Rhinolophus ferrumequinum: one gene and its partners. The main gene of each other region encodes a partner of the protein of the gene in region 2 in a complex. Links are inferred from orthologs where the notes say so. Each region holds a gene or a part of one and is shown on either strand. Other genes may lie near its edges. The genes, in order: PRPF3, SNRPD3, DHX16 and STRAP.

What was found.
Region 1: SNRPD3 (region 2) and PRPF3 share a complex: the UniProt entries of both Homo sapiens proteins name them as parts of the U4/U6-U5 tri-snRNP complex. The link is inferred for Rhinolophus ferrumequinum from reciprocal best matches to the Homo sapiens genes SNRPD3 and PRPF3.
Region 3: SNRPD3 (region 2) and DHX16 share a complex: the UniProt entries of both Homo sapiens proteins name them as parts of the minor spliceosome. The link is inferred for Rhinolophus ferrumequinum from reciprocal best matches to the Homo sapiens genes SNRPD3 and DHX16.
Region 4: SNRPD3 (region 2) and STRAP share a complex: the UniProt entries of both Homo sapiens proteins name them as parts of the SMN-Sm complex. The link is inferred for Rhinolophus ferrumequinum from reciprocal best matches to the Homo sapiens genes SNRPD3 and STRAP.

What each region holds. Positions count from the first base shown.
Region 1 is NC_046305.1:50,663,193-50,670,417, reverse strand, and holds the start of PRPF3 (U4/U6 small nuclear ribonucleoprotein Prp3), read right to left. Parts: upstream 3,021-7,225; 5' UTR 2,888-3,020; intron 2,844-2,887; exon of another isoform or gene 2,764-2,843; intron 148-2,763; 5' UTR 103-147; coding exon 1-102. Other genes in the region: MRPS21 (28S ribosomal protein S21, mitochondrial), read right to left, coding at 5,137-5,317. UniProt on the Homo sapiens protein: Plays a role in pre-mRNA splicing as component of the U4/U6-U5 tri-snRNP complex that is involved in spliceosome assembly, and as component of the precatalytic spliceosome (spliceosome B complex).
Region 2 is NC_046308.1:22,251,262-22,258,277, reverse strand, and holds the start of SNRPD3 (small nuclear ribonucleoprotein Sm D3), read right to left. Parts: upstream 3,023-7,016; 5' UTR 2,402-3,022; intron 1,022-2,401; 5' UTR 1,004-1,021; coding exon 878-1,003; intron 1-877. Other genes in the region: protein GUCD1, read left to right, coding at 3,525-3,567. UniProt on the Homo sapiens protein: Plays a role in pre-mRNA splicing as a core component of the spliceosomal U1, U2, U4 and U5 small nuclear ribonucleoproteins (snRNPs), the building blocks of the spliceosome.
Region 3 is NC_046286.1:1,279,205-1,286,395, reverse strand, and holds the start of DHX16 (pre-mRNA-splicing factor ATP-dependent RNA helicase DHX16), read left to right. Parts: upstream 1-4,173; 5' UTR 4,174-4,370; coding exon 4,371-4,577; intron 4,578-5,763; coding exon 5,764-6,011; intron 6,012-6,107; coding exon 6,108-6,270; intron 6,271-6,577; coding exon 6,578-6,634; intron 6,635-7,191. Other genes in the region: PPP1R18 (phostensin), read left to right, coding at 237-256. UniProt on the Homo sapiens protein: Required for pre-mRNA splicing as a component of the spliceosome. Contributes to pre-mRNA splicing after spliceosome formation and prior to the first transesterification reaction.
Region 4 is NC_046293.1:29,904,963-29,912,162, reverse strand, and holds the start of STRAP (serine-threonine kinase receptor-associated protein), read right to left. Parts: upstream 3,019-7,200; 5' UTR 2,694-3,018; coding exon 2,582-2,693; intron 1,843-2,581; coding exon 1,707-1,842; intron 1-1,706. UniProt on the Homo sapiens protein: The SMN complex catalyzes the assembly of small nuclear ribonucleoproteins (snRNPs), the building blocks of the spliceosome, and thereby plays an important role in the splicing of cellular pre-mRNAs.

The DNA of each region.
Region 1 (7,225 bases), on a different chromosome or scaffold from region 2:
GGCTGCTGTGACCACTGTGGGCTCTGAGAAACCCAGCACCCTTTTCACTGTCTTCTCTATCCATGGTTTCAGCTCATCCAGCTCCCTCTTAGATAGTGCCATTCTTCAGGAAAAGGAAGGTAAGTCAAATGGGATTTAGTACTGCACCTAAAAAGAAACCAGGAAAGAATTAAGTTAGAGGACAGGAAAAGACTAAAGTGATTCCAGTCAATGCTTATTACATTACAAATGTCTTCCCCACCTCTATTCTCAATCTTTAGTCGAGCTGCTCCTCTTCATTTCAAGTCAAATACTTTCCCTAAAACCTATACTTCAAAGCAGAAATACATTCCATTTGATTCCCCCCTCTTCTTCTCCCTTGTCCCCGCCACACTCCGATTCAAGCCGTTGTTTCTCAGTCTAGTTGTGTAGGACACAGCTCCCTGGCCCATGCTGCTGTTATGAGCCTTGCGCTCCCCCCGGCTGAGGCAGTCAGTCGCCAGTTGTCAGTTGGCCGCTCACAGCAGCTCACAGCAGCTCTTGCCAGCTGCTGGCCTCTCATGATGTCTTCCAGCCACTCACGCTGACCACCGGCCGCTCATGACAGCACATGGTAGCCCACGGCAGCTCGCGCTGGCTGCCGGTCACTAGCGCTGGCCACTCATGGCAGCACATGGTAGCCCGCGACAGCATACAGCAGCCCACAGTAGCACATGGCAGCTTGTATTGGCTGCCGGCTGCTAATGGCGGCACACAGTAGCCCGTGGCAGCACACAGAAGCCCACGGCAGCTCATGCCAACCTCCAGCAGCTCACAGCAGCCCAGCTCCAGCCCAGCTCCAGGGAAAGCTGTTGTTCACAATCTTAGCTGTAGAGGGTGAAGCTTGCTGGCCCATGTGGGAATCGAACCGGCAAACCCGGCGTTAAGAGCACAGCGCTCCAACCACCTGAGCCACTGGGCCGGCCTCCCCCATTAGATTTCTAAGCCTGACTCACTATCAGTGAGTCAATGAAACTTGTGGAATAAACAGATAAAACCCGGGAATGGCCTAGTCTGAGCAATGAGTTCTGGCTCCTTTTTTGATCCTGTTGTATCAACAGGACTGGCAAACATATGAGTATAATATGGAAACAAGACTGAAAAAGCCCAGCCAGAGGCAGCTTTTCTATTCTTAATTCTAGGCAGGCATTCCTTAACTCAGCCGTAACCTACAGGTTTCCTTACTTTTAAGGGATGCAGATAGAGGAAGGCTTATTCAGGTCAGTCATCCTGTATCAAAGCTCGTATCCTTAAGAATGTTCTATTTCTCTGTAGTCATATGCAAGCTAGTGGGGATTCTGTACCCAGACAATTTTCTCTCATGTTCTACAGGGTCTTTGTCAGTTGACTTGGGTAAGGTAATCCCCCAGCTCAGAAAAGAATACCCCCATTTTGGATGTTCTGCCTTTTCACCTTTATTTTTCTACTTTTTACACTATCATACAAGATTCTATAACAAATCCTTAATTTGTCATTTAACACAAGTTAGTACAATTCTTAAACAATAGTCACATTTACATTTTGATCTCCTACCTAAATTTCAAAACCCATGAGCATAGAGAAAATTGTATTTCCCCTATTTTCACCATAGTGCCTAAAAGTCAATAAACCGCACTGAATTCAATTTCCCAGATAACCTCCTCCCAGCAGGGCCACATATCAGGGTCTGATGTAGGAGTCAAGCTCTCAGGCCGTTTTTAAGGCATCTTTTCTCCTAAAAGACACGGTCTGATTAACTTCTACATTCTTGGCAGGGACGTCCCTTATAAGACCTGTTGCTAAACGGTGTTATTAAATTTGGGTATAACCGTATGAAACTAGTAGATTGAAGTCATGAAATTAGGAGTGATAGATTTCCTGCCTCAGTGACACATTATGTGAATACTTCTAGGTGGTTCTATTCACCCATCATGAGACAGCAGTATAACCTCTCAATCTCCTATATATTAAATGTGCATTGCTTAAAAGCAGCATATTCAGATACCACAGTCAATAAAGAGCTCACACTGAAGAGTTGCAACACGGAGCTTTACCATTTACCAGCGTTTGGGCAAGTAATTCCTCTGAGCCTCAGTTTACTCATCTTGGTACTTAATTCATTCAACGAATATTTATTGAGTAACTACTAAGTGTCAAGCAGCATAGTGGGTGCTGAGAATACGTACACCAGTGAACAAAACAGACAAGAATCTTCGTCTTAACGGGGCTTATGTTCCACTAGAATTGAATCACAGGCTAGAAAGTGTAAGCAATTTGAAAATCCAAAGCGATACACGAGGAACCGGTCTATTAGATTAAATGTGTGCCCAACACTAAACTAACAAATGTATTCAAGTGCAACCCAATCCTTCCTAAGAGAATGTGCAAACTAAACAGCCCGTGGGCCAAAATGAAAGTTTCCAACAGTAACTAGCTTTGTCACTAATCAAATGTTGGACAGTAACTGCGTGGGGCGGGTGTGTGTTATGGCGTGGGGAGGCAGGCAGAAGGATCTCTGAATGGGGAGGGTGCAGACTCCAATCTTCTGAAGGATTTCCGTGCTCTTCTTTGCAACACCCCGACTGACCCACCCCCACCCCACCCCCAAACCTCCATTCTTCTCTCTCTGCTCTCCCCGGCCGGCCCTGAGCCCACCTTGTTCTCCCCAAACTCCTCGTCTCAGAGCTAGTCTCCGCACCCCGTCCCCTTCCCGCCCCCGCCCTTTTCCTCTCAACAATCTCATTCCAACCCCTTCTCCCGCAGAACCTTGTTCTCCTCTCAGCTGCCTTCCCGCTGAACCTTCCAGCCTCGGTCCCCCTCTTGGACTGAGCCCCGGCCCCAGGCGCTCCGACCCGAGGCCACCCTCTTTGGGCCCGGGGCCACTACTCACCTCACAAACTTCAGCCCCTGAGACGGAGCCCGAACGTTACACCGGAACCGGAAACCCTCCGACCGCCCTACGGCCTGCCGTCGTTACCGCCACTGCCGCCGCCACGCCACGGTCCTCCACACGTGACGGGGAGGGCCGGGCCACCGACGCGCGCAGCCGTAGTAGCCACTTTCCTGGCGGCGGGGCGCATGCGTGGCGGAGCCCTAAAGTTGCCCCGTGCAAGCTCCCCACGGCTTCCTTTTCCCCAGCTAAATCTCCTAACTGGATTACTGCAAGGTTAATGTTGCCTGAAACAGAAATCGGGCTGCTTGCAATATTCCTAGTGTGGCGAGTCAGTGCGCTGAAGTTACGCTAGAACTAAAAGCGGGGCTTATGAGTTCAGGCTAAACGTGGCCTTTCGTGTGTTATAAAGTCAATCCTCAGTAAGAGTCGAGATCACATTAGCCACGTCTCCCTAACCTTTCTCCTTCAGTAAATTAACAGTGGTGCCAGAGACCGACGCAGAAAATAGACGTGTATGGGAGGACTCTGAAGATAGCAACTCTCCCCCACCCTCCTCTTGTCTCATTCGTTAATTGAATATTTATTGACTGCCTACTAGTATGCACCAGGCATCCTCTTCTGAGAATCAATACTGCTTCATGGTTAAGAGCAGGGGCTTGAAAGCCGGATTGCTTAGATCTGTATTCCAGTTCTCCCACCCATTATTTATACATTAGGCAAATTGCTTAAGCCCTGTTACCTCACCTATAAAAAAAATCCACCTCAGAGGGCTGCTGTGAGGACCACAAGTGACCGAAGGTAAATGCGTTTAAAACAGCTGCTTCTGAGTTCAATAAAGCTACCTGATAGGTAACAATATATACACCACAAGGGGGCAATGTTTGAACACTAGCAATTTGGAGAGGTAGGGGGCCAGGCTGTCTGCTCAGTTTACTTCCTTTTTAAACATTATGCTGAGGGCTGCAGCCTGGGTGAGGAGAGGTGGGCTAGCTGCTTCCGCCTACCCTCTTCCGTTCTCCTCTGGGGGTTGGCATCAACACTCCTTATATCAGCAGCATGGCTTTCAGGGGACCAAGGCCAGAGGAAGCACACAGCAGGAAAGGAAGCAGAGCAGCTGGTTCCTCCCACAGTCAGATGCCCCCAGCTGTCAAGAATCACAGACCCAGGAGTGCCTGTTGAGAGGTAGGGTTGGCGCTGGGGACCTCAGCCTGGAATCTCTTTTAAGTACTATTATAGGGCAGTGATCCTCAGACTTCAGCAAGCATCAGAATCACTTGCAGGGTTTGTGAAAATAGATTACTGGGCTCCAACCCCAATTTCCAATTCACATAGTCTAAAATAGGGGCCCAGAATTTGCATTTCAAACAATTTCTCAGGTGATCTTCATACTGCAGATCTGAAGAGCACACTTTGACCTAAGAGCACAATCTCAGAACTGCTGCTCTAGGTATTTCAGGCTCTGTGTCCTCCGGTCTCTTAACACTCTATTTCCTCTTTTCTACCATCCATCTACCGCTTTATTTCTTCTCCACCATCCCTCCATTAGCCTCCTTTAGGAAAAACAGAAAACAGGAGTGAATGTTAGATTTGTCTTAAGGATTCCTTTGGACAAGGATTCCAGCACTCTAGTCTGGTTGATGGGAGTTTCTGAAGAATTTATTCCAGATATACACATGCTTCCTCTCCTTTTATTTAACAGTTGAGGGCAGTGCAAGTAAAGAGTAACATGCTTTCCCAATGATAAGATCTTGCTTTGTGTTTCATAGAAATTGGGTAAGAAATGGTAGATATATTCTACAACATTTTAGAAAATGTCCTCAGCTTTCCTAGACTATTTAAAAACAATCATAGTAAAATATACATAAAACTTACCATTTTAATCATTTAAAGTGTACAATTCAGTGGCATTAAGTACATTCACATTGTTATGCAACTATCACCACCACCCATCTCCAGAACTTTTCCATCTTGCCAAACTCATGCTGTACCCATTAAATAGTAATTCCTCATTCCCCTCCACCCCCACTCAGCTCGTGGCAATCACCATTCTACTCCAAGACTATTTTTTGGCACAGTTTCTCTTTCACTTAATAACTGACTAGTGGGACTGCTTCTATATATGCAGGCCTTCTTATATATCCGTGATTGAGCTTATTGCAAGAAAGATAAAATGGGGTTGGAGAAAGAAAAGAGGTGGAGACACCATTGGACAGGGGTTTTCATACTGGGCCCACTACCCACAGGCCTCAGCAGCCCTGCCATGGATCCGCCCGATTCTTTCGCATCAGAAAGTTGATCTTGCGAGTCATTTCCATGTTGTAGATGCGCCGGCAGGTTTCATAGCTTTCCCTCTGTCGCCGGCGGCAAGGCTTCTCGTAGTACCGTCGTCGCTTGATGTCCTCAATGAGCCCATCCATGCTGAGGATTCTGTACAAAGAACGGCAATGAAGTTAGAAGGTGGGGCTCATTATTATTCTTTTCCAATTTCACAGATGGCCAGAAGTCAACTGACCAAACACTTGGGGTCTGTAAAAATTATGGTGTGAAATGGTGGCAATATAGTATTAACTGTCTCCTTATGGAGGCCCCATATAGGAATCTGTGGGGAATAAAAAAGCAATCATCTACATAGTCCTTGCTCTTGGGGAGTTTACACTCAGGATCATGTTCTCAACCTTTGTTCTACCACAGCACACCTGAGGGATATGACAGTCTCATAAGAACAGTGGTTCCCTATGGCAGTGATTCTCAAGCAACGGGTCATTTCAGAATTTTCACATGGGGTGACTCTTAACAGTAGCAAAAAAAAAAAAAAAAAAGTCACTAGGAGTGATTCTGATATGGTCCTTAGTAGAGAATATAGTTCCATCCCTATTGTGTTTAAAAACTGATACAGCTGAAGTCGGCAGATCTGAGAAATCTCTGGGCCTACTTAGTACAGGAAAGAAGAGGCCCTTATCACACCGGTGACACAAATGGGGACGTTAAGATAACAGCCTCACCCACAATTTTTCCATGTGCCACCTGCTCCACCACACTACTTGGCTGACTACTCCCTGAACACACTCTAACACGTCTGCTCACGCTGCTTCCTCAGCCTGGAATGCCACCTTCAACCACTGGCTGCCAACCTTCTGACTGAAATTTTCCTCATCTTTTTGATGCCAAACCCCAATGCCACCTCTCCACAAAGCTTTCTCATCTTCTTTAGAGAAAATATTTTATTAAACACCTATTTAGCAATTATTTCATTCTGCCATTCCATTAGCTAGTTTTACAAACATCTCCCTCATTAGACGGAAAATCCTCGAAGGCAGAGACCATGTTTTATTAACCTTTAAATGTCCATAAAACTGAGTTCAATGTGTTTTTTTCCTGCCCACCCAATTTCTTGCAATGCAGCTTCTCTTGTTGGATTTATAACACACCGAACTCAAACTCCCCTTTTTGTTTTGAGTGAGCCAAGAAGACAAGGGGCTTATTCTCCAATCTACCTAATAACTCATAGGCTCCTGAGAGCTCTGGCTCCAACCTGCAATTTGTCTCTCCCTCTCCACCCACCATCACTTGATCCTGAGGAGGTTTGGAGGCACCTGCCGCTACTGTCCTCCATTCCTGGCATTGTTTACATGGCCCCATTCCTGCTTACCCTGTCCTTTCATTACATGTAAAAAGTAAGTCACAAACACAATTGGAGACAAGGAGATTGAGCCACGGCTATTGTAATTGGAAGAAGGGGGACACAGGAAGAAGGAAATAATAAGAGACATCACCAGCTACTTCTGCCCAGCGGGAAATCTTATTTATTGCTGCTATGTATGTTACATCACAAAGCCCAAGATAACAACAGATTGAACATTAACTTGAAAAGATTTCAGCTTTGGGTAAATTACAAATGTGAATAGACATGGGAACCACTGTACCTATGGGATCCTCTCCCAGCCTCCTGCTGTTTAATATCGAGAATGATTTGTAGGCTACTAGAGAAATCATATGTGTATAGATCAGTTTGTCTAGGTTTTTGTGGCAGGGAGATGGGAGGCAAGGGACTGGCTGCCGACTCCCGGAAGCAGGAGAGGTCGCTCATTCAGGTTCTGTTGAAAACAGTCATGCCCAGAAGTCATGTGGATTCAACACTAGAGTCTTACAATAGAGAAGTAGGGCACCAAAGATGAAAAGACTGAGTCTCTTGGCCCACACAGGGTCTCCTTTGCTGACTTTCTTCCTCGATTTACCCTTCCATGTTGGTATTCCTCCAGATTCTGACTGTAAACCTCCGTTTCTGGTTCGACATGATTTCCTTAACCCTTACCAGTGAGCCTCAACCCTGATGCA
Region 2 (7,016 bases):
GTATCCACTACAGCATACATACACCCCGAGGCCACTCTCTCCGCAGGCTGCCAGCCAATGACTGGCCACAGCGGGGGTACTAGAGCCAGGCCATTTCTGCCCCATGCTACTCTCCTCAGTTTTGGCATCTACATCACAGAGGACCCAAAGTAACACTATTCCCATTTTACTGATGAGGAAACTGAGGTGATTAACATGGCTATGGTCGTATAATCAGGATTCAAACCAACATGATTCCAAAGCCCAAGCTCTTAACTGATGGTTTAAAGAACAAAGGAGAAAGTGTGCGGATACACTTTGTAATGTTATACAGATTCTTGTGATTATTAAAAGCAAAGTAGTGCCACGGGAAGAACACCACATCAGGAAGCTGCTCCAACATTTATTAGCAGGGTGACATTCACTAGATGAGTCCTTTAATCTTATTCTCCCTATTTTATGGATGACAAAACTCCCACCAAACCCATTTACCTCGAAAGGTAGTTGCTATAATCAAATGAAATTCTTCCCCTCAAGAAAACTGGCAAATAAGCACATTATGTGAGTGTAAGATTTTGCTAACTGCAAAGCATTATGCAAATATGTGGGGGCAAATGGATAATGGTCTGAACCTGAAGGATTCCAACAAAGGGAGCAGTGCCACTTCTCTTAAACAGTCCCCCAAATATGGGACAAAGGACAAAGTTAAATATTCCAAACTTCTGAATGGCTCTTATTCATGCCCATATGCCCGCACCTATACCAGTCTCTGGCACACATTAGGCACTCAGTAAGGAACTGTTCAATGAGAACTTCAAAAAGACCTCCAGTCACCATCTTTCTGTCCCGCAAGACAGAGACACAAGCTTTCTCCAGTCTCATGTACAAAGCAGGATACCTGGCAGTTCATGTTGTCTTCCGCCTCAATGAGCTTCCCACGGTACACCTCACCAGTGTTTGTCTCACACGTCACAATGTGACCCTCCGCCTCATGTAGAACTTTAATCGGCACACCAATAGACATCTTGGCAGGAAGAGAGTTCTACAGTGGGAGAGACAACAGTTAGTTCATCTTTCAGGGCCTGAGAAGGCATGTGGCACATACCATGCCTCCCTTAAGGCCTGACACTCCATAAAACTTAGCAAAGATGTCTCAGCTGCATTTTCTACAAAAAAAGCTTAACATCTAGCTTGAGGTACCTATCTGAAAAAATACATGGAACATGTGGGGTGGGGAGGAATGGAAGCCCGGGTAGAGGGAAATCTAATGGGAATGAAAAGTACCTTCCATCTTCCTCCCTGCTATCCTATGTCCCTTTATCTTCACCAAATAACCATCAATCAATTCTGTGTGTTTGGGGGCAAGGGGGGTGGCATGCATTACCTTACAATGTATTTGTCAACCCAGAGCTGTAGGTGACACCATTTTGAGAACCCATGATATAAACCCGAGCTGTCCAAGACAGCAATCACTGTCCACATGTAGCCATTTAAATTAAACTTAATTAAAATGAAATAAAATTTAAAAAACTCAGTCCCTCAGTCATATTAGCAACATTTCAAGTGCTCAATGGCCACATGTGGCTAGTGTTGGGCATACATATATACAGTATTACTAAGCACTGCTCATATAGACCAAAGGATGCAGGCAAATCTGGAAGAGGTTGTGTATTTAATTTAACCCATTCTATGCCCTTTGACCCTCCACTTCACCATCAAGGCTAAAGAGAAAATATCAAAGTGTTCACAGAGTGACAATGTGCTAGAAGCAGGAAATGCTTTTATTGGAAGAGAAACAATCAGGGCAAGCGCCTGGCTTGACCTAATTGAACGAGACAAGTGAAGGGTTTTTTAACTCCAAAATGAACAACGACTAAAGGCTGGAAAGCACCATGTGTGTTCAAGAAAGGAAAAGGAACACGAGGTTGGGAAAAACACGCCGGCTCCCTTGGAGAGGAGCCTTAGGAGTGTGGATTTTAGGCTGAAAACAGCGAAGGACCACTGCAAGATTATATGTAAGGAATAATCCAACAAAAAGGTAGCAGCACTTATAAAATGGATCAAACACAGTTAAGAAGCAGGGGAACGTGATAAAACTTCTGTACCAGTGTGGAAAGCACGGGGCACCAGCGCCTGAATGGAGGATGGAGGCAATCAGTCAGAAATGATTTCAAGACTATTGCCTGCACACTTCGAAAAACAGACCTGGAGAGGTATAGAAAATGAAGAGCATGTACTTTGGGGAAAAGCTAATAAACTCACTTCCAGGCGCTAGTGAGGCGACGCTGATGTTTGGGTGGCCCAGGCTTCCCGCTCTTCTCCCTCCCCGAGCCACGCAGAGCTCCATGGCTGTGCGTCCTCCAGCCCCCGGCCCCTCACGGGTGTCTCGGCCTACCCTCGCCTGCCCCTGGCCTTTCCTCACCGGTTCCGGTCTCCTCTTCCTTTCCCGCGCGGCTGCGGTGTCTCAGGCGACTCCGACGGCGTGAGGCGAGCGAATGGCGGATTCCGCTCTCCCAGAATACCATGCGTTCCCAAAATGCCGCGCGCAGAACCCGACCCCTTCCTTTTCCTAGTGGTGAGAGCGATCTCGCCTCCGCCTCCTCCTCACCCCGCCGGCTAGGAAACGTGGGCTCTGGTACGATCGTTCCGGCCCCAGAAAAGAGGGTTGATGATGGGGCCCAGGTGCCACCCGAAATACCGACCTTCAGCCCGTCAAGGGAAGAGGGGAACTCGCGGTTCCAAGCACCCCCCACCAGGGACGGGCTGGATCCAAGGGCGGAGATCTAGGGTCTGGGCCGTCGGATCGGGGGCAGCAGGCGGTAGGGCCGAAGGCTAGGATCTCCCCTCACAATTTAACCTTTGGAACCCGGCACTGCCAGGTAAGTGCGACCTGAGCAAGGCGACGAATTTCACCATACGGATAGGGAAACTGAGGTATAGAGAAGAGGGGGTGCCGGCCCAGGGATTCGGAGTAGGGTTAGGTCTCCCGAAGCCCAACGATTTATGCCACAGGACCAGGCCTTGGACCTGAGGCTGACAAAGAAGCGGGTGTGAGTAGAGGTGGAGCTTGCTAAGGGGAAGAGCCTCTGGGGAGCCAATGTTCGCTGGACTACAGGGTTTCGGGGCGGGGCTCAGAGAGGGGCGGGGCTCCCCGGGAACGGAGGCGGAGAAGGGCCTGTGCGTCTGCGCGAGAACTGGGAAAGGGGCGGGGTCACCAAAAGCCAAGGCTGCGACTGGCCCGGGCGGGCTTAGATCAGGAGGCGGGGGGCCTCTAGTAATAGGACGAGGGATGGGAAAGGGGTGGCCTCTTTGGAGGCCCAGGGAAGGGGAGGAGCTTATGGAAGGGGCGGGGTCCCAGGATCTGAGGCCTGGAGGGGCCGGGGCGGGGCTTGGGGAGGCTCTGCCACCGCCTCTTCTTCTCCCCACCGCGCTGGCGGTGGAGGTGGCGGTGGAGGAGCCTTACACGTTCCGGTCCCACTCCCGCCCCAGCCGAAGCTACAGCCGGCGCCAGGCCGGGGCCATGGGCGCCCCGCGCCGCCCGGGTCATGAGGACGGAGGCGGAGGCAGCGGGGTCGCCGCTCGAGCCCGGTTAGTGCCTCCCTGAGGGCCCAGCCCTCACTCGGGAACGAGGGGTACTCCCACCCCTCCACAGCGCGGGGCAGGGTCCGGCCGCGCGCGCGACCTTGGGCCGACCGCCGCCTCCGGCGAGGCTATAGAGCTTCCAGCGAAACTTGGCCAGGTGTACGCAGCCGCCTTGGTTCCCTACCCTCCAGCCCCTGTCAGTTGGGGTTTCCTGATACTCCCAGGGCTGAGACCCCAGTCAGCTCTGGTAGCGGTCATGGTGGGGAGGGTCCCAGCGTGTGAGGCTGGGGCGCCACCTTCCCCAGAAGCAAAAAGTCCTGCTGGAGTCGCCTTGGGAGATCCTGACCCCTGGGGAAACCAAGGCCTAGAAGCGCAAGGAACTGCTGAGAGCACAGAGCAATGGGAGGGCCCTTACCTGGCCTCCCGGACTCAGCGTTTTGTCCTGTACAGTTCTTCACCCTCTGGTTCCTTCTGCGCCGAGGTGGCCTGAGTTCCTTTGGGGTGGAAACCAAGACTGACATTCAGTGTCACGGTCTTCAGTTTGCTTCTCTAGGTGGGGGAGGGGGAAAGGAGTGATTTCTTCTCTGCTTAAGGCACAGGGTTGATGAGAACGAGACAGTGGTAGTGGTAGTACTACCGTAGTAAACTCTGAAGTGAGTTGCCAACTCATGGGAGAGGACAAGAGCGAGCGCGTGGGAACCTGACACTAACGCCTCAGTGGAACCACAGTGTCACCCGAGGAAGTGGTCTCTTGCGTTTGCAGCAAGGAGTACCGTCTAATGCTACCCTGGGATTTGCATCCTACTCCAACTCTGTGATGTCGGACCAGGCGCTTGCTTTTCCTGAGCCTCAGTGTCAGTGGAGTAATGGCTCACCTTCACAGAGAGCTTTCTCTAGCAGGCACTGTGCTGTGTTTTACATGCAGTGCCTCGTTAATCCTCATCACCACCCCATGAAGAAGGCTGCCTTGTGATTTTCACTTTTATGGATGAGCTGACTGAGGCTGAGAGGGGTTAAGTACTCAGGGCCAGTGAGCTGCGTTCCTTCCTTGGTGACAGCTGCCAACTGAAGCCAGCCAGGGCCTTCTAGGCAGACCCTAGTTCTCACGTGGGACAGTCCCTTTGCTTCAGGCATCAACATCTTGTAGCAGCTTTGGGCTTGGAAGACCTCGCCTACTCTTATCATTCCCCACAGGAGTGTCTGTGGGTCCCTATGGGCAGACCTGCTGGTGCCAAGACTGGGGGCGGCCACAAGGGGATGTTCAGCTCTTCGGGACCTCAGGATCAAGGAGTTTAAAGGATCAGGGCAAGAAGAAAAGGGGCAGCAGAGCTCAGAGCAACTGCCCTGTGCCACATTTACAGCTGGGCATAGGAGAAAGTACAGACAGACTCAAAGCCCAGCTAGTCCATACCAGAGCCTGCGGTACAGAGTAAGGAGGGAGCCATGAACAGGCTGTAGTCTGGAAGCCTGGGGGTGGGAGTGCTGGGCATTGCGGTGACAGGTAGGCCCCTGGCATCTCAAGGGATAAGGCCTTTGGGGAAAAGCATGTTCCAGTCACCAAGCATGTCTGGGTGCCTGCTCTGGGCTGAGGGCTAGGAGGAGGTAAATGCCACCTTGTCCCCACCTACCCCTGAAGAATTCTCCATTTGTCCACTGGGGAATACGGACACCACCTCAAATAATCCATATTGAGGGTCTCAGAGAAGGAAAGGGACCAGAGCATTCGGACGTTTAGAGATGGGAGACAACGTTCCAAATTAAGGGATATATAAGAGGAAAGGCTGGGGAATAAACAGCCTGTGTAGAGAAAAACACAAAGGCCGTTTATGTCCACAGGGAATTCTTGAAAAGGGAGGCACCCCACCATGGGGGGACAATACCCTGCATAGAGCTCTCCTCCACTCAGCCCATTGGGGGGAATTATTTTAGAGTATGAATCCCTGGAGGGCAGGGTTTGGATCTTAGTCACACAGTGTCCCCAGATCCTAACACACGGTGGGTGCTCAACAAGTTCATTTCTTCCAACAAATGTTGAATTACTACTAAGCATCAGACACCAGGCACTGGGAATACCAGTGAACGAGATTAGCAAATTCTCTGCCCTCAGGAAGCTTCCAGGCTAGTGGGGAGACAGAAGAGCCTGATCGACTGACTGACTTTTGCTAAGTACTGTGAGGGAAACAAACAGCATGCTGTGACGGCGGGCTCCCTCACTCTGAAGATGTAGCCAGAAAAAGCATTTCTGAAGAGGAGACTTTGAGCTGAGACCGAAATGACCATCAGGGGAAGCCTTAAGAACAGCAAGGGAAAGAGAGTTCCAGGTAGAGAGAGCTGTATGTGCAAAGGCCCTGGAGTGGAATGAAGCTCGATGGGTGCCCAGAGTAACAGGAACAGGGTAAATGAGGGGTAAAGGCAAAGATGAGGCTGGTAGGTCCTGCTTGGGCAGGGCCTGCAGGCTATGGTAAATTGTGAGAACTTTATCCTAAGAGCAGTGGGACGCTATGGATGGCATCCCTCTGGCTTCTGTGTACAGAGATGGCAGAGGAGCTGAGGTGGAATTTGGAGAAGACAGGCAAAGGTCAGGCGGGAGTAAGCCCTCAGCACTGAATCCATGGCAATGGGAGGAGGAGAATGTGTGAAGGCCTTGAATGAAGTGCCTGGGTTCCTTTTAAAGGCACCTGGGGTCGGGGGAAGGAGGGAACAAAGCCTCAGCCAGGCCTGGACTCAGTGTGCCGGGCCCCCTCCCAGCTGGATGGAGGCAGGGTTCACATCAGCACCCACAAAGGGCTCTACACACCTCCTTGCCCTGAGCGCTCCCACCACCTTGCTGGCTGGTGTCTGTGATGGTGCATTTCATAAAGGCGGAAGCAGGCTCAGGGAAGTCAGGTGCCTCTCAGGTGACTCAGCCAGTGGGTGGCCTGCCCTCGCCCATGCCATCCTGCCTCCCACGCTGCTGCGTGCCCTTGAGGGTGAGGAGTCTGGAGAGAGAGACCAGTACCATGCAGCAAAGGAGCCGCCACAGGTCACTGCCTCTTAGGAATGTACAACGGCCCAGAAGGGCACAGACAAGCTCGGTGCCAGGGTCCCCTCTGGGAGGCAAAGTGTGAACTCAGGCCTGGCGGAGTGCCGATGAAGGAAAGGGCGTGGCTTTTTCAGAGATGGCCCCGAAGTGGTGGCATCTGTGCCAGGCCGTGAGGGCGGGGGCGGATTTAGACACAGGAGAGTAGGAGCACGGGACTCCTTTTAAGAAGGCACTGCCCAGACGAGGCCAGTAGGTCGGAAGGCGAGGATGGCCTCCAGGGCTAATGCGTGGCCCTCATGCTGGGGGCATGCAGTGGGGGGCAGGCAGGCTCCCGGGACGGCTCTGCACCGGCTGGTCTTGGGTTCAAGAAAGGCCCCAGAGACCTGAGGTGAGGAAACAATGTGGGCAGGCTTTTCATGTCCTGAATGGGTGT
Region 3 (7,191 bases), on a different chromosome or scaffold from region 2:
ATTATTTAATCCACCTAGAGTTTATTGTGAGAGTAATTGAACTTTAAGAATGCCTGGCACACAATATGAGCTAAATGAGTATGGCTGCCATGACTGGTAGTAACAGGCACTCAAGATGTGGAAGATGTTATAAGACTTCCTTATGACAACTGGCCTTCAGTTCCGCGAGTGGGGTGGGGAGGCAGGGAGCAGAGGACCTCACTCATTCTCTGTCATCATTGTCTCCTTTCCCACAGATGAGTCCTGCCGGAGGTGACCCCCTTCCAACACAGGCATATACCTCCCTCCTTCCCAGAACTGAAGATCCTGGAGCCCAGATGGTTCAGAACAGACAACCCTGAAAATGAGCCTGGCAGGGAAACTCAATCAACATCTTCCAACTTGCTTTCCTCATCCTATTTCTGGGGGCAGACCCAACTGCCTAAATCCACCCTCACCCAAGGTCCCTGGTGTGAATGCATCAGGCATGCTCAAGCATCCTAGGTGAGCCAAGAGTGAGCTCCAAGTCCCAGGGAGCACAGAGCTTCCTGAGGTGCAGATGGAGCACCCCCTCCACCTCCTTGGGCCCAGCACACTCTCCCTACAGCCTTCCTTGAATTCCCCCCACCCCAGGGCTCTCAAGATTTAAGCACTCCTGTCCCTGGGAGGCCTGGCCCCCACTCCTCTTACAGGCTCCTCTCCCTGCTGCTCCTTAGGTCACTGCCCCTTTGTTTACAGCTCCCAGCCCCCCACCCCCCAAAGTCCCAGGTTTACAAGCTAGGTTTACTATTTGCCTTGCTAAGTCCATATGGAGTCCTGTCCCCTATCCCTTGCAGTCGGCTCATTGGGAGTGACCTGGGGCTGTGGCTTCCTCCACTTTTGCTCAGTATTACTGTGCCTCAGTTTTTCCCCAAAAGGGAAGGCTGGGAATATTAACTCTGTACCCCCATCTGGTTATTTAATTCTGTTCCTCCTATTCAGTTCACAAATGAATTGAATTGCAAGGGTGCAGGGTGACTAATAAGGCACCTCAATTTTCCCTCATTCTTCCTTGTCAATTGCCTGTTGTTGTTTTTTTTTAAGACGAAAACAATTTTCCATAATAAAATGTAGCCTTAAAGACTTTCCCGCTGTTTCTCCTTCCCCCCTCTTTCTTCCGCCCCCCACTCCCCACTCCGGTTCAAGCCGTTGTTTCTCAGTCTAGTTGTGTAGGACACAGCTCCCTGGCCCATGCTGGTATTAGGAGACTTGCACTGCCCTCAGCTGAGGCAGTCGGTCAGCTGCTGTGTGCCGGGTGACACCCTCCCTGTCACCCCCACCCCCAGCAGCAGCTCACACCAACCTCCTGGCTGCTCAGGGCAGCCCAGCTCCAGGAAGAGCTGTTGTTCACAATCTTAGCTGTAGAGGGCGCAGCTCACTGGCCCATGTGGGAATGGAACCAGCTGCCTTCCGCGTTGCGTTAGGAGCAGGGCGCTCCAACCGCCTGAGCCACCCGGCCGGCCTGTTTCTCCTTTAGAAAAGAAAAAGGTATATGTGTGGGGAGGCTGTGCCGCATTCCCAGTCTGCCATCTTCCTATTGGCCAGGAAAAGGAAGTGGCCATGGCTGTGTGTGGAAAAAATAATGGGGTTGAACCAGGAAATCAGCATTGACATGTAGAAAGGGCTTTGAGAGAGCCCTGCACTGGTTTCTCAAAGGACTTATTTGAGGAAGAGCAGTTGAAGTATCCACTAGACTGCAAGTGCTATGAGGGCAGACTATGTTGGTTGGGTTTATCCCCATGCCGGCACCTAGTAGACGAGAGAGAGAGAGAGAGAGAGAGAGAGAGAGAGAGAGAGAGAGAGAGAGAGAGAGAGAGAGGATGTCTAGAATGAATGATTGAACAAATAAATGAATAGATGAAAAGAGACAAAATATTGGAAGCAGAATTGAAGGATTCCAGTATTCAGAAGCCTACTGCAGTGCAAGCAGACAGGTAGTGTATGATATTGGCTCATCCAGGGGCGTTTACTCCAGGATTCTGGACCATTAAATAATAAATCTCTTGTTGTGAAACACAGTGTATGTACAGAAGTGCAGTTTCCTGGGAAAGGGTCTCCTCTGATAGAGAATAGGTTTTATATTCTTAAAGGTTTAAGAGCCATTGCTATTTCATGGCTTTGTTGCTTAAGTAAAATTGATACTGGGAGATTTTCCCACTTCAAAGAATTTGTATCTTCTACAAATGTGAAGGATCTATATTTTACTTACCAAGTCAGTTTTTTTAGTTCTCCAGGCTAGTAAAGATATGGTTGAGTAGCTATAGTCCTACAGTATGCTTCTCTCAGCCCCAGTCAGAGGAGACTCCTCCTTACTAAGAACAAAGTGTATTAGACAAATTGGTCTTAAACATACGCCAAAAGTATTTAATTTACTAGCAAAGGAACAAGCAAGGTGTCAAAAGAATGAGCTGGTTCAGAGGCTATGCGCATGGAAGGAAACAATGCTTACATTAATAGCTAATTAGGTAAAAATCCTAATCTGTTGTGACCCCAGGAAGTAGAGGCAGGAAGACCAGATATGCCAGGGGTGCTCATGGTCCATCTCAGAAACAGAAAACAATGCATCTAAGAAGTAAGGAGTTATCTGTGGCTGTTAATTGGAACAACAATATTTCTTGTTTCAACAACAGTGTAAGTCCAATTAATCATAAAAGTATGAAACAGAGTCAAGTAACAAGTTTCGCTTATTTTTATTTTATTATTTTTAATTAGTTTTTATTAGTTTCAGGTGTACAGAGCAACATAGTAGTTAGACATTTACACCTCTCACAGAGTGATAACCCCCATCCCCCAAGCTACTACCCCTTTGACATTTTATACCATTGACTATCTTATGTTATACTCCACCTCCCGTGGAGTATAATGTATGTATTTTTTTCCTTATAGTTGACATACAATATTAGTCTACTTCAGCTTCAGGTGTACAGCGCAGTGGTCAGGCATCTACACAGTCTATGAAGTTGTCATGCAGGGTGTCATGCGGGGTCTCAGTTCCTGCTCCCTGCATGAGAACGCAGGACATGGTGAGGCCAAAAAGGAACACCAACGGAGCCGTAGGTAGGGGAGTCATACCACTGTATCCTCGCTGGCAGCTGGGTTGGAGACACAGGAAGCGGGAGCCACATGATCTGCAACCTGCCGTCCGTTTCTCTGTCAACCAACCTCACTTGCTAACTGCAATCTGTGCTTGTTATCTTAGCCACGGCAGTTATGTCAGTGGCCAATGGCTAACTGGTTACAGCTGACAGCCAACTAGTCACAGTTGATGGCCATTTACTACCCGAGCCAGCACCTTTCCACATGAGGCCAAGAGCCTGGAAACTGCTCTCCGGGACTCTGTCCCCACAGAAGTGATCCCCTTGATAAGTCCAGTGCCCACCTGGCACCTTACATAATCTTTACAACATTGTTGATTATATTCCCCATTCTGTATTTCATACCCCATGACTATACTGTGTTTACTAATTTGTTCTTTCTAATCCCTTCACCTTCTCCCCCATCCCTTCCCCTCTCCCATCTAACAACCAACAGTTTTTCTGCTTATTTTAAAATAAGGAGTCACCAGTGAATTTCTCACACTATTAGCAAAAATGCAGAAAACAATTTGCACATGCCTTAGTTTGGAGAGATCTTTTAAAATTACTTTCTGAGACAGCATCGAGAAAAGCACGTTCTTTTTCCCCCCAGATCCCAACTTTCTTCCTGCCTGGAGGTCCTCACTTATGCCTAACCTGCATTCACTCTTGCTGCACTTATTGCTCCTAGCAAAGGTTACTCTGAATCAGTATGGGCTTATCTTTAATGAGCATGGACTTGATCTTCTGATTTGAAATAGAACCCCCATACATTCATCTTGCATTAATTTTGGCTCCATAGAACTTACATGGTTTATTTATTATGTATCTTCCCTCCTCCCCGTCAAACGTAAATTTGGTGAGGGTTTTTGTTTTGTTCTTTGTTCTATCCCCAGCGACTAAAATTGTGTCTAGCACACATTAGGCGTTCAGCATTGTGAATGAATGAATGAAGCAGCCAGAGGCTGACTATCAGGGGCGACAGAGAGACACGGTACGGCGGAAGTGAAATTATTTCCTCCGAGCCACAGATAAGGTTTCGCGAGGTTTGAACTCGCTCGGCCACCGTAGTGCTTACGTCGGAAAAGTGCGGCCGTTTCCGGCCTCCCCGGCCGGGGAAGACAGCTTTGGGCTGTCGGAAACCGAACCCTAACGTCTTAAGGTGGCTCCTTTGCGGAGCTGAGGCTCCAGCCCGGGCCTTCAGGTCTCCGACCCGCCCGGCAGACGGCGCGGCTGTTCGAGACCCTTCAGGGCCGGAAACCGGGAGCGCGGGTCGCCATGGCGACACCGGCGGGGCTGGAGCGCTGGGTGCAGGACGAGCTGCACTCGGTGCTGGGGCTAAGCGAGCGGCACGTGGCCCAGTTCCTGATCGGCACCGCGCAGCGCTGCGGCTCAGCGGAGGAGTTCGTGCAGCGCCTGCGAGACACAGATACCCTGGACCTCAGCGGGCCGGCCCGGGACTTCGCCCTGAGACTCTGGAACAAGGTGTCTGGAAGGGAGGGGCCCGCCGTGGGAGCGGCGGGAGAGGGGGTGGAGCAGGGGAAGGGCTCTAGGTTATTTTTCCAGGTGAGGCTGGGCTAACGGTCCATCCGGGAATTAAGTCATAGGCTCAGTTCACAGCATTTGTCCTCTGTCCGCTGTCGCGCGGGTACTGCGCTACGTACTGGACGTCCAGCTCAGTGGAGAAGACCGAGGAGGGCTTAAATGTGTTCGGTTAAGTGTTATAGAGCAGTGTTTCTCGAACTTGAGCATGTATACGACTCATCCAGGGCCCTTGTTGAAGTACAGATTCCGATTTTGTAGGTCTGGGAGTGGATCTTAGTTTCTGCATTTCTAACGAATCTTAACACGTTTCCAGCTGATGCTGATGGTCCAGGGACCACTCTTTGAATAGTGAGGCTGTAGAAGAGAGGCTGTAGAAGGAAGTGTTGTGGGAGTATGGTAGGTGGGGGTAGTGATCAGGAAAAGCACGTCCAAGGATTCCCTGGAGTTGTCAGGTAGAGAAGGGGTAAGGAGTGAGCTCCTGGAAGACAGGACTGTATTTCTTGTCTTTGTGCTCCTACCACCTAATCGAGTGCCTTACAGGACAGGTGCTCAGAAAGTTTATAGTAAGAGTGAAAGTGTTCAACATGTTCAGAGAATGGCACGTAGCTTGGGGTGGTTGTCCCATATGGTACTTGGCAAGAGATGGGGTTAGAATGTAAGTGATACGAGGGTGAGGATTTTATGTTAATCTGTCACCAGAGTATTCTGGAGTCTGGTACAGTGCCAGGCCTGTGACAGGCCTCTGCAGAGCAATCCTTCTAGTGTGTCTACAAAAGGACTGACTTAATCATTGGGAAGAGCACAGGCTAAGCAATTGAGAATTGGGTTTGAAAATGTAAACTCCATGAGGGCAGGGATTTTTCTCTTTCATTTATTTCTGTATCCCTAGCTCTTAGCAAGTACCTGGTGCCTGGGACAGGCGTTAATAAGTGTTTGTTAAATGAATAACTGACAGGAAGTTCAGAAGCTCAGAGGCCCCTTTTAGGCGGAACATGGTGTGAAGCCATGGGGAAGAGTGAAGGAAGGCTGGTTTCAGATCAAGTCATTCCTTAAATTGGGAACAGGGCAAAGTAGGTATGAAGAGATCAGGAGTTGCTCCCCTCCCCTTACCTGTCTCTGTTGACAGGTACCACGGAAGGCAGTGGCAGAAAAGCCAGCTCGGGCAGCCGAGCGGGAGGCCCGAGCCCTGCTAGAGAAGAACCGATCTTATAAGTTGCTGGAAGACAGTGAGGAGAGCAGTGAGGAGACTGTGGGTAGGGCTGGGAGTAGTCTCCAGAAGAAACGTAAAAAACGGAAACACCTCCGGAAGAAACGCCAGGAGGAGGAGGAAGAAGAGGAGGAAGAGGTTTCTGAGAAAGGGAAGAGGAACAGAGGGTAAGTCAGAAGCAGGGTGAGAGAGGATGGGGCAGGTGGATGACAGGATGATAAACCTTCTGGATGCCCTTATTTAATCCTCCCTCTGGGCTGCAGGGAGAGCAAACAGCAGACAGAGAAGCCGGAATCCGAGGATGAGTGGGAGCGGACAGAGCGAGAGCGCCTTCAGGACCTGGAGGAACGTGATGCCTTCGCCGAGCGGGTTCGGCAGCGGGACAAGGACCGGACTCGCAATGTCCTGGAGCGGTCAGACAAGAAGGTGCATAGGAGCTGCGCATTCTGTCATCCCCAGGATGATCCCTGGGTCAAACAGGGTGGGCGTGATGCAGAGGGAGTGATTTCTGGGGAAACAGGAGATGCCTCCAGTGGTATGCTCACCTCTGGTGAGAGAACCCCTCTGGGTCCTCTGGCTACGGCAGCCCTCTGCTAGAGAGATTCCTCACCGAGAAGGGACATTTCTTTGTGCTAGGGGACATCCGAATGATCCTTATAATTCTAGAGGGGGAATGGCTCTGGCTGTGGGTGCTTTGGCCTCACATCCCTCCTCTCTTGCTTTCTTCTCCTAGGCTTATGAAGAGGCTCAGAAGCGCCTCAAGATGGCTGAGGAAGACCGGAAAGCCATGGTGAGTCCCAGTGCCCAGGAAGCCAAGAGCAGAAAACAAAAGGAAAGACTTTCTGGTGGCATGGTTAGAGGGAGGGAGAAAGGATACAAAGGAAGTGTGGTGGGGGAGCTGTTGGGGCTCGGGTCTCTGGAGGAGGCGCTGGGTTGACAGGACTCTGCTGAAGGTGGACTGGAGTTAGAGGGGAAGGGAGCTACTCGCAAATCCTCCTTGACTCTTTTGGATCAAATCATACTGTATGTTAGTGAGAGAAATGTGATACTTAACCAGATGTAATCAGAAGTAGCTGGAAGGTCAAGGGGTTGGCTGGCGGGCAAGGGCAGGGCTGCTGTCCCACTGCCCAGGTTTATGCTGACTGTTCAGCTTCGGGGCCCACCATGTCCTAGTGCCTTCCTACCACCCAGTCCCTCCATCCCCATGTGGCCTTGTGATCTCCCTCCATTTTCCTGGATGGGTCTTGTCACTGCACAGGAGCAGAGCCCTTGTAATTGGTGAGCTGGACCTGTTCTGATGTGTCTACGTAGGGTAGGCAATTCTCCAAAGGCCTGGTCTTCTCAAGT
Region 4 (7,200 bases), on a different chromosome or scaffold from region 2:
AATGAACAATCAAAGGAGTCTCTGTCACCTTATAGGCACGCTGACATCTAAAGCAACATATGACCTAAAGCTGTCTGTTGACATAAAATGAACTTATATAAAACCAAGCATTTCCCTATTTTATCAATATTACGTACAATCGCAACAGGGCTCAGCACAAGCCTCATAGTGGTGATGCCTAAAGACATAATAGCAATCTACTCATCGATGACACACAAAAAAGTTTAGACTAACACAACTTTTCTTACTGATCTCTTACCATGTCTAATTTAATCCCATGTAAGCACTACATCTCCCTCTCATTTTAAATTTTCATTTTTAAAATTTGCATACAGTAAAATTCACTGCAGTATAGAAGTCTTTGAGTTTCAACAAATGCAGTCATGTATCCACCACCATCACTCTGCCTTTGTTTTTCATAATAAACTTGGTACGTTAATTTGTTCAAAACAAAGGAGCAAAACATTTACAATTGCTCCTCAGTGTGAAATTCTGTCTTAAAGACAAAAAACCAACAAAACCACTTTTACTCTCCTGACTCTTAAGTCTTACAAAGTCTATTTTATACGAACGAGTACAATAGATCTTGATATTGCCTTCATTAGTTTAAACATTTAAGTATCTGCTAAGTCACAAATACACTTAGAAACTGGAAATGCAAAGATTATACAAAATGATACACGCCCAGAAGGGAAAAATGGGTCATTGCAAGTCACTGTAATAACATATATGCAAAAACCAAAAATCAAAATAGGTAATATAGCTAGGTTGTAGGGCATATAGTATGCAGTACCAGATGATGCTAATGAACTAGGATGCGGCCGAATCTTAAAGTGCCAACAACTGAAATTTAATCCTTAGGCCAGTGGTTCTAAAGCTGCACATCAAAATCACCTGTGACAACTTTACGGGGGAAGAAACCAAACTGATACTGGGCACTCCATCCCCAGACTAATTAAATAAAAAATTCTGAGACATATGCATCTGAGTATTTTAAAAGATCCCCAGGTTATTCTAATGTACACCCAAGGTCATGAACCATTGAAATAGCAGAGGGAAGACAGGAAGATCACTAGATAAAGAAGTGACATAATGAAATTTGTTTTTAGAAAGACAACTGGAAGCACTATGGAAAATGAATAGACCAGAGACTAGTGACAGGGACCTGAACTAAGGCAGTGGCAGAGGCGTAAGAAACATTGTAGTCAGGAGGCATTAAGATGGTATAATCAACAAATACGAAGATAATCTGGATATAAGGGAAATATCAAGAACTTAAACTTAGAAAATGAAGAGCAATTGATGGAAGTTTTAAATATGTCTAAAGCCAGTTAACAAAAACTGAGAGTGAGATCAGGCTAAAAAGTCTGGGGCCGTTAGCAAGAGAAAGTCATAGGAGTTTATAGGTATCACTCAGGAAGCACAGGTGGAGCAATATTTCTAAACATGACCCCCAACATTTACTATCTGCAGTGCTCGTTAATAATGCAGATTCCCAGGTCCAGACAAGCTAAATAAATCACTTAAGTCTCTGAAAATTGTTAAGAACCACTGAAGAGAAAGCAGCAGACAGGACCACGGTGCAATTTTGGTGAGAACAAACATTCATATGCATTGAATTAGAATTTTATAACAGGCTGAAGTTTGATTATTTCAGAACACAACCCACAGAGATCCCCAAAGCTGGCCATTTTGGCTATACTTACGCTGTGAAATCTGCAGCTGCTGTAGCTGCTTTGGTGGCATCCTTATTCAATGTTGCACCCCAAACAGCACCCTTATGACCCACAAATGTTCCAATCCAGTCTCCTGTATCTCCCTGGCGTAGCATAGGCTTACCGTCTAAAAAATATTTAAAAAGACTTGTGATTTATAAGTTCAAATTACTTAAAATCTATGATTCAAACATAAAATCATGATGAATAACCAAGTGGAAAAATTGCTTTTGTTGTCTAAACTATTTTCACTGGGGTCACTAAGGAATGTTCAGAAATAAATTACAGGTAACTACATACGCGTACAACTAAACTAACTTCATAAATTAACTGAAGAACTGAGCCAGAGATTCTCTCTGGGATGCATCTGTAATTTGGTTAGAATACTGAATTGCAACAGAACAATCTAGAATCGAGTCTTATTTTGGACAAACTTGTTAACTTAAATCTCAGTCTCCATTTGAAAAATGGGGCTAATACCACAACGGAATATCCAATGACATAATATGAGGGACAAGTCTTGGTAAAGTATTCCTTCATCTGGTCTCGTTTCCCCATTGCCGAAACCCTTGAAAGATATTTACAGTTTGGCGGCCAAGGTGTCTAGGCAAGTTTACAGTTCTGCTTCTCCAGAAATAGCAATAAAAGTAAAATGAGCAGCCTTAGTTGGAGGCAATACCTAGCCTTGTCGGAGGTGTCAGAAAAGCTTCCTCTGGCTGCCGCTACGGAACCCCTAACACTACTCTTTGACCGTCATCTCAAAGGTTGAGATGCCCACAACCCCTCCGGCACTGTGGAGTTCCGGCTCCATTCCGTTTCGGCCCAGTCCCAGACGTCTGGAAACCAGGATCAGCAGCCCTGCTCACCTTTACAAGCGCTGATTAAGAAGTAGCCATAAGGCGTGATACCACTGAAAGCCAAATCAACCACAGGCCGCGTGTGGCCGGAGCAGGTGAGCGGGGTCTGCCTCATTGCCATGGCGGCGGCGAACCAAGCTGGCGGGCTGGGGAGCCGGGGGTCTCGTCTCCTTCTTTTCTCTCCTCAGTTGCAGCGTCTCTGGCTCCTCAAGGCCCCCGCCCTGACACTGGGGCTGGACCGGAAAACAGAAAAAGGAGGCCAATCCAGTGACACCGAAATTAGGAAAAGGTTAGGGATGGGTCAGGGAGTCTGCGACGGGCCACCCACAGCCGCAGAAAGAGGGAGAGGGAGGGAGGAAGGAAAACAGGGGAAGGGGAGACTCGGAGAAGCCCGGCCACGGCCCGCACCGTCCACACCGCTACCGGCAGGAAGTGACGATTCCAATGACGCTCAGCGTCCGCCGGAAGTGATGATACAGAGGGAAGGCGAGTTTGCCGGGTAGAAGAGCCCTAATGAGCCAGTAGGACAGCAGCGCGCAGGCGCGAGATCAGCGCACGTAGGGCACGTGATGCTCGCCCCGCGCCGGCTTCGTACGGCGCCTGGAGATGGTCTAGTCTAGGCGCTTTCGCAAAGTCCCACACGCTGAGCTCTGACCAGGCGTAAACGGCCTTGTTATCGCCGTGTCGAGTTCACCGGGTACGAAAGGTGTCCCTGCTTCGCCGAGACCGTGGACCAGCCGGCTCCCGTGGGTTACGCACCAAGCAACACCACCAGTGGGACTGTGGTCGGTACCTGGACAGAAGGACAGTAAAACCCGAGTTTCTCCCCTTACGGCGGCCGGCCAAACCTGCAAACAAAGTCTAAGAACTTTTTTTTCAATTTTTGTAACAACTGTATAAGCAGCTTCCTCTGGGATTGTCTACAAGTAAGGCCCTTAAAAAAGTAATTTCCCCAGCCACTCGTTCTGTTATGTGACATTCCTGTATTGCTAGTGTCTTAGACATGAGTGTTATGTCGCTTTAAATACAGTTAAATTCCAATTACTTTTCCTTTGAGGAATTCGGAGTACCCTAGAGCAGTGGTCCCCAAACCTTTTTGAGGAAATATTCGCATTAATAAAAGTTGAGCCTGCATTCCCGATATACAGATAACTGTAAATTACATATACATTATAACGAACAAAAGAGTAATATTAGAAGACTGGAAAAACTGAATATAAATGAACTCTGGTACTGTCTTCCTGCAGGCAGCCCGATTCAGTATTGCTGCTCCGTGTATCAACCAGAACTGTTGATTGATTGCTCATACAAAAGCTTTCCTAAGCAGGAAAGTTGCTTTCTTTGGGAATGGTGTTTCTTTCCATTGATGATATAATTTAAACCGGAAATAGAGATTTTTGTGAATTATCCCTGCTTTATCCCCAAGGCCTTAATGTCCTGGCACATACCAATAAATATTCAACTAGTACCAACGTCTGTGAATCTTTCCTTCTCCACCATCATCTTTTTTGTGCTGAACATGTATCATTCACGATTCAAGTCCAATGACTTGAATAGGGACTTGAAGTGCTTCCCGAATTTAATTCCTTAATTAAATTCCACAATTTTGTTCATTTATTGTGCCACACTTACTGTATGTGTTTCTACATGATATTTTAGACACAACACACCCATACACATACTCCATTCACACACCTGAATTATGAGCTCTTTAATGGCAATGGTTATGGCTTTGTCATGTTTGTGCTCTAGTACCAGAAGAGTGAATGGCATTTATTCATGGATAGTGTGTCCTTAACAAATGCTCGTTTACTGATTGTGTAAATAACTGCGTTACTGATGGAGGTAAATAAAAAACACAACGCAAATTAAAACAACTATTTGGTAAACTATTAATATTGCCCATATATTGCTCATTGTATGCAGGTAAACATATAACTGATAACTACTTTGCTCTAAAGAATGTATAGTTCCTGTTCATTTGGATTCTGAGTTCTAAAAGTATGTATAATGATTAACTGGCTTCAAAGGTCAGTTACTATTAGAAGACAGATTAATGCAACTAACATAGTTACCACATTAGAAGACTAAAAGAAAAATATTAATATGTAAAAAGTTTTAGATCGAATTCAACCTCCATTCATGATAAACTTCTAGATATTAGAAATAGGAGGGACCTAATAGAAGATCCTAAGAAACATCACACCTAATAATGAAACACAAAGTATTTCCTATTAGGTCGGGTACAAGTGAGTGCTGAAAGGAAAAGGGAGTGAAGTAGGCAGGGAGAGCCTTCAGGCCATAATGCTGGCCTGATACTTGTGAAAGGGTGAGAAATAAAAGAGAATCGCATAGAAAGAGACTCAGACTACAATGCAAATCTGAAAAAGTCTTGTCCAAGCAAATGTCTTGCCTAACTCAATAACACATTACATTGGTGAGATATGGGACTAGTGACCACACATAGCCACAAGAGGGTTTGGAAAATATAATCTAGCTGGGCATCCATGTCAGGAAGACCAGGAAAATAATTTGAGTGTGTCAAAGTCTCAGACAGTTACCTATTTTGATTTACTTTCTTCCCTTTGAGTTACATCTTTCCTACTGCACTCGGTGTTTTTCCCACTTTTTTTTTTTTAACTGTTGTGAGTCAATTATTTTTCACTGTTTCAAATGTTCTTTTCATATTTATTAACCTAAAAAGTTACAGAGGCAGGAAGCATTTATTTGAGATTAAAAAATTGCAATTCTGGGAAGCAGTGATTCAGGCAGATATCGCAACAGTGTTACAATTAGAAAAGGAAAGCAAGGGTATTTATGACAAAAGGAGGGGCAGTAATTACATGAATAGAAGGACAGATTTTCTATGGGTGTTAAGTCCAGGAAGAAATTTGTATAGGTACACATATACTAAGTTATTCTTTAACTACACATGGTGGTGCTAATTCTAAAAAATGTTTTTAATTTTCAGTGTGGTAATCAGGATGTATACTTTCCTTTTAGTTTTGCAAACACTTATTTGGAATACAGTGTTGCTTTGGCTCAGTCCAAAGGTTATTTTGCCCATTTCGAACATTCCGAAGGTTTGAGGAGTAAGACATGCAAGCAATTCCTCTGGGATGGTGGCTCCAACTCTGTTTTGTAGTGGCTCCATTTATATTCTTTTTCACACATTCATGCTTTTATTTTTTTTATTCAGTTTTTTTCCCTTAACTCTGTCTTTGTATCTCCATTTGTTTTCACATTATTATTATTATTATTATTATTATTATTAATATTATTTTGGTCTCTTGTTATAGAGTTCATCTTTTCATATTTTTAGAGAGTGTCAGGAAATTTTTACACATTTCACCTTTTTTCAGTAATTATTTGTCATTTACATTTATGTTTATTTTGTTTAAAAACAATACTTTTTTAAAGGAAAGATCCCACGTCACTCATCAGTAGATGGTGACAGTTGCATTAATTTGGTCTGTTACTTGTATAAGAACAGTGTCAGTGTATTCTTTTTGATTCTCCTCTGTTATTACAAAGTGTTTTGGCTATATATTTAGAACTTTAGCTAGAAGAATGAGTATTAGTTTATGATTTTGAAATGAAATCAGCCTCTTGTGGGGTGAGAAATCTCAAATTACATGTCAAGTCAAAGACAGGAGACTGAATATGAATACTTTTGGTTCTGCTTCTACCCTAGAAAGATCAGCTGTCATGGTTTTGTGGATAGAGGTAGAGATAGAGATACAGATAATTTGATGGGATAAAATGCGATCCCCCTACCCCATCATCCACACTTGCCTGAGAGGAAATATTACATTGTCAGAAAAGAATCCATTAGAGCTGGTACCATTTTCCCTAAATGATTCATAAAGAGTGATTCTAAACTAAAGTGATAGTTCTAGTAATATGGATATGCTCGGGGGAAAAAATCAAAAGATTCATATCCAGGAATTCAGGTGTTATTTTTTTCCCAAAAGAATAGAGTCAAAGTCACATCAGTATGAAGATTATACCTTCCTCATATAATGCTAGGTCATGTTGTGTTGGGAAGAAAATTAATACCCATGGAAGAGAGTTGCCCTTGTTCTTACGTTAATCAGGCGAAGAATGGCAGCAGCACTCAGTGATGGAGAGATCAATCTGGAATCATATCACTCACCATCTTTATCTCATAAAACCAGAGCCCATGGTGTCACTGAAAAATTCCTGTGTTTCTCTGGCAAAACCCAGGCCAAGGAAAACTCCATCACCATCTGGACAAAGCTTGTGTGATTTACCATACACAATGATGTGGTTCCTTTCTTATCTTGGGAGAAGTTGAATTTCCCTGAGAAAATAGGTGGGGACCCCTAGATGGTGAAGGGTTAAGCAAGGTCTGTAGGAGGAACGTTAGAGTTTGAGGAAATAGAGTTCGAAATAAGTGGCGGCCATCTGAAGGCCTAAATGCTGAGGGCTTTCCCTCCCTCTCTCCATCGGTTGGTACAAGAAAAAGTCACAACTCCTAGGTTCTTCTATTTTGTACTTATTGGGAGTGCGTATTTAACTCTTCTATAAAACTAGCTGCTTCAATGGCCATTGTAGCTCAAACAGGTAGGAAGTCACCAAGAAGCAAACAGGAAAGAGTAAATCCC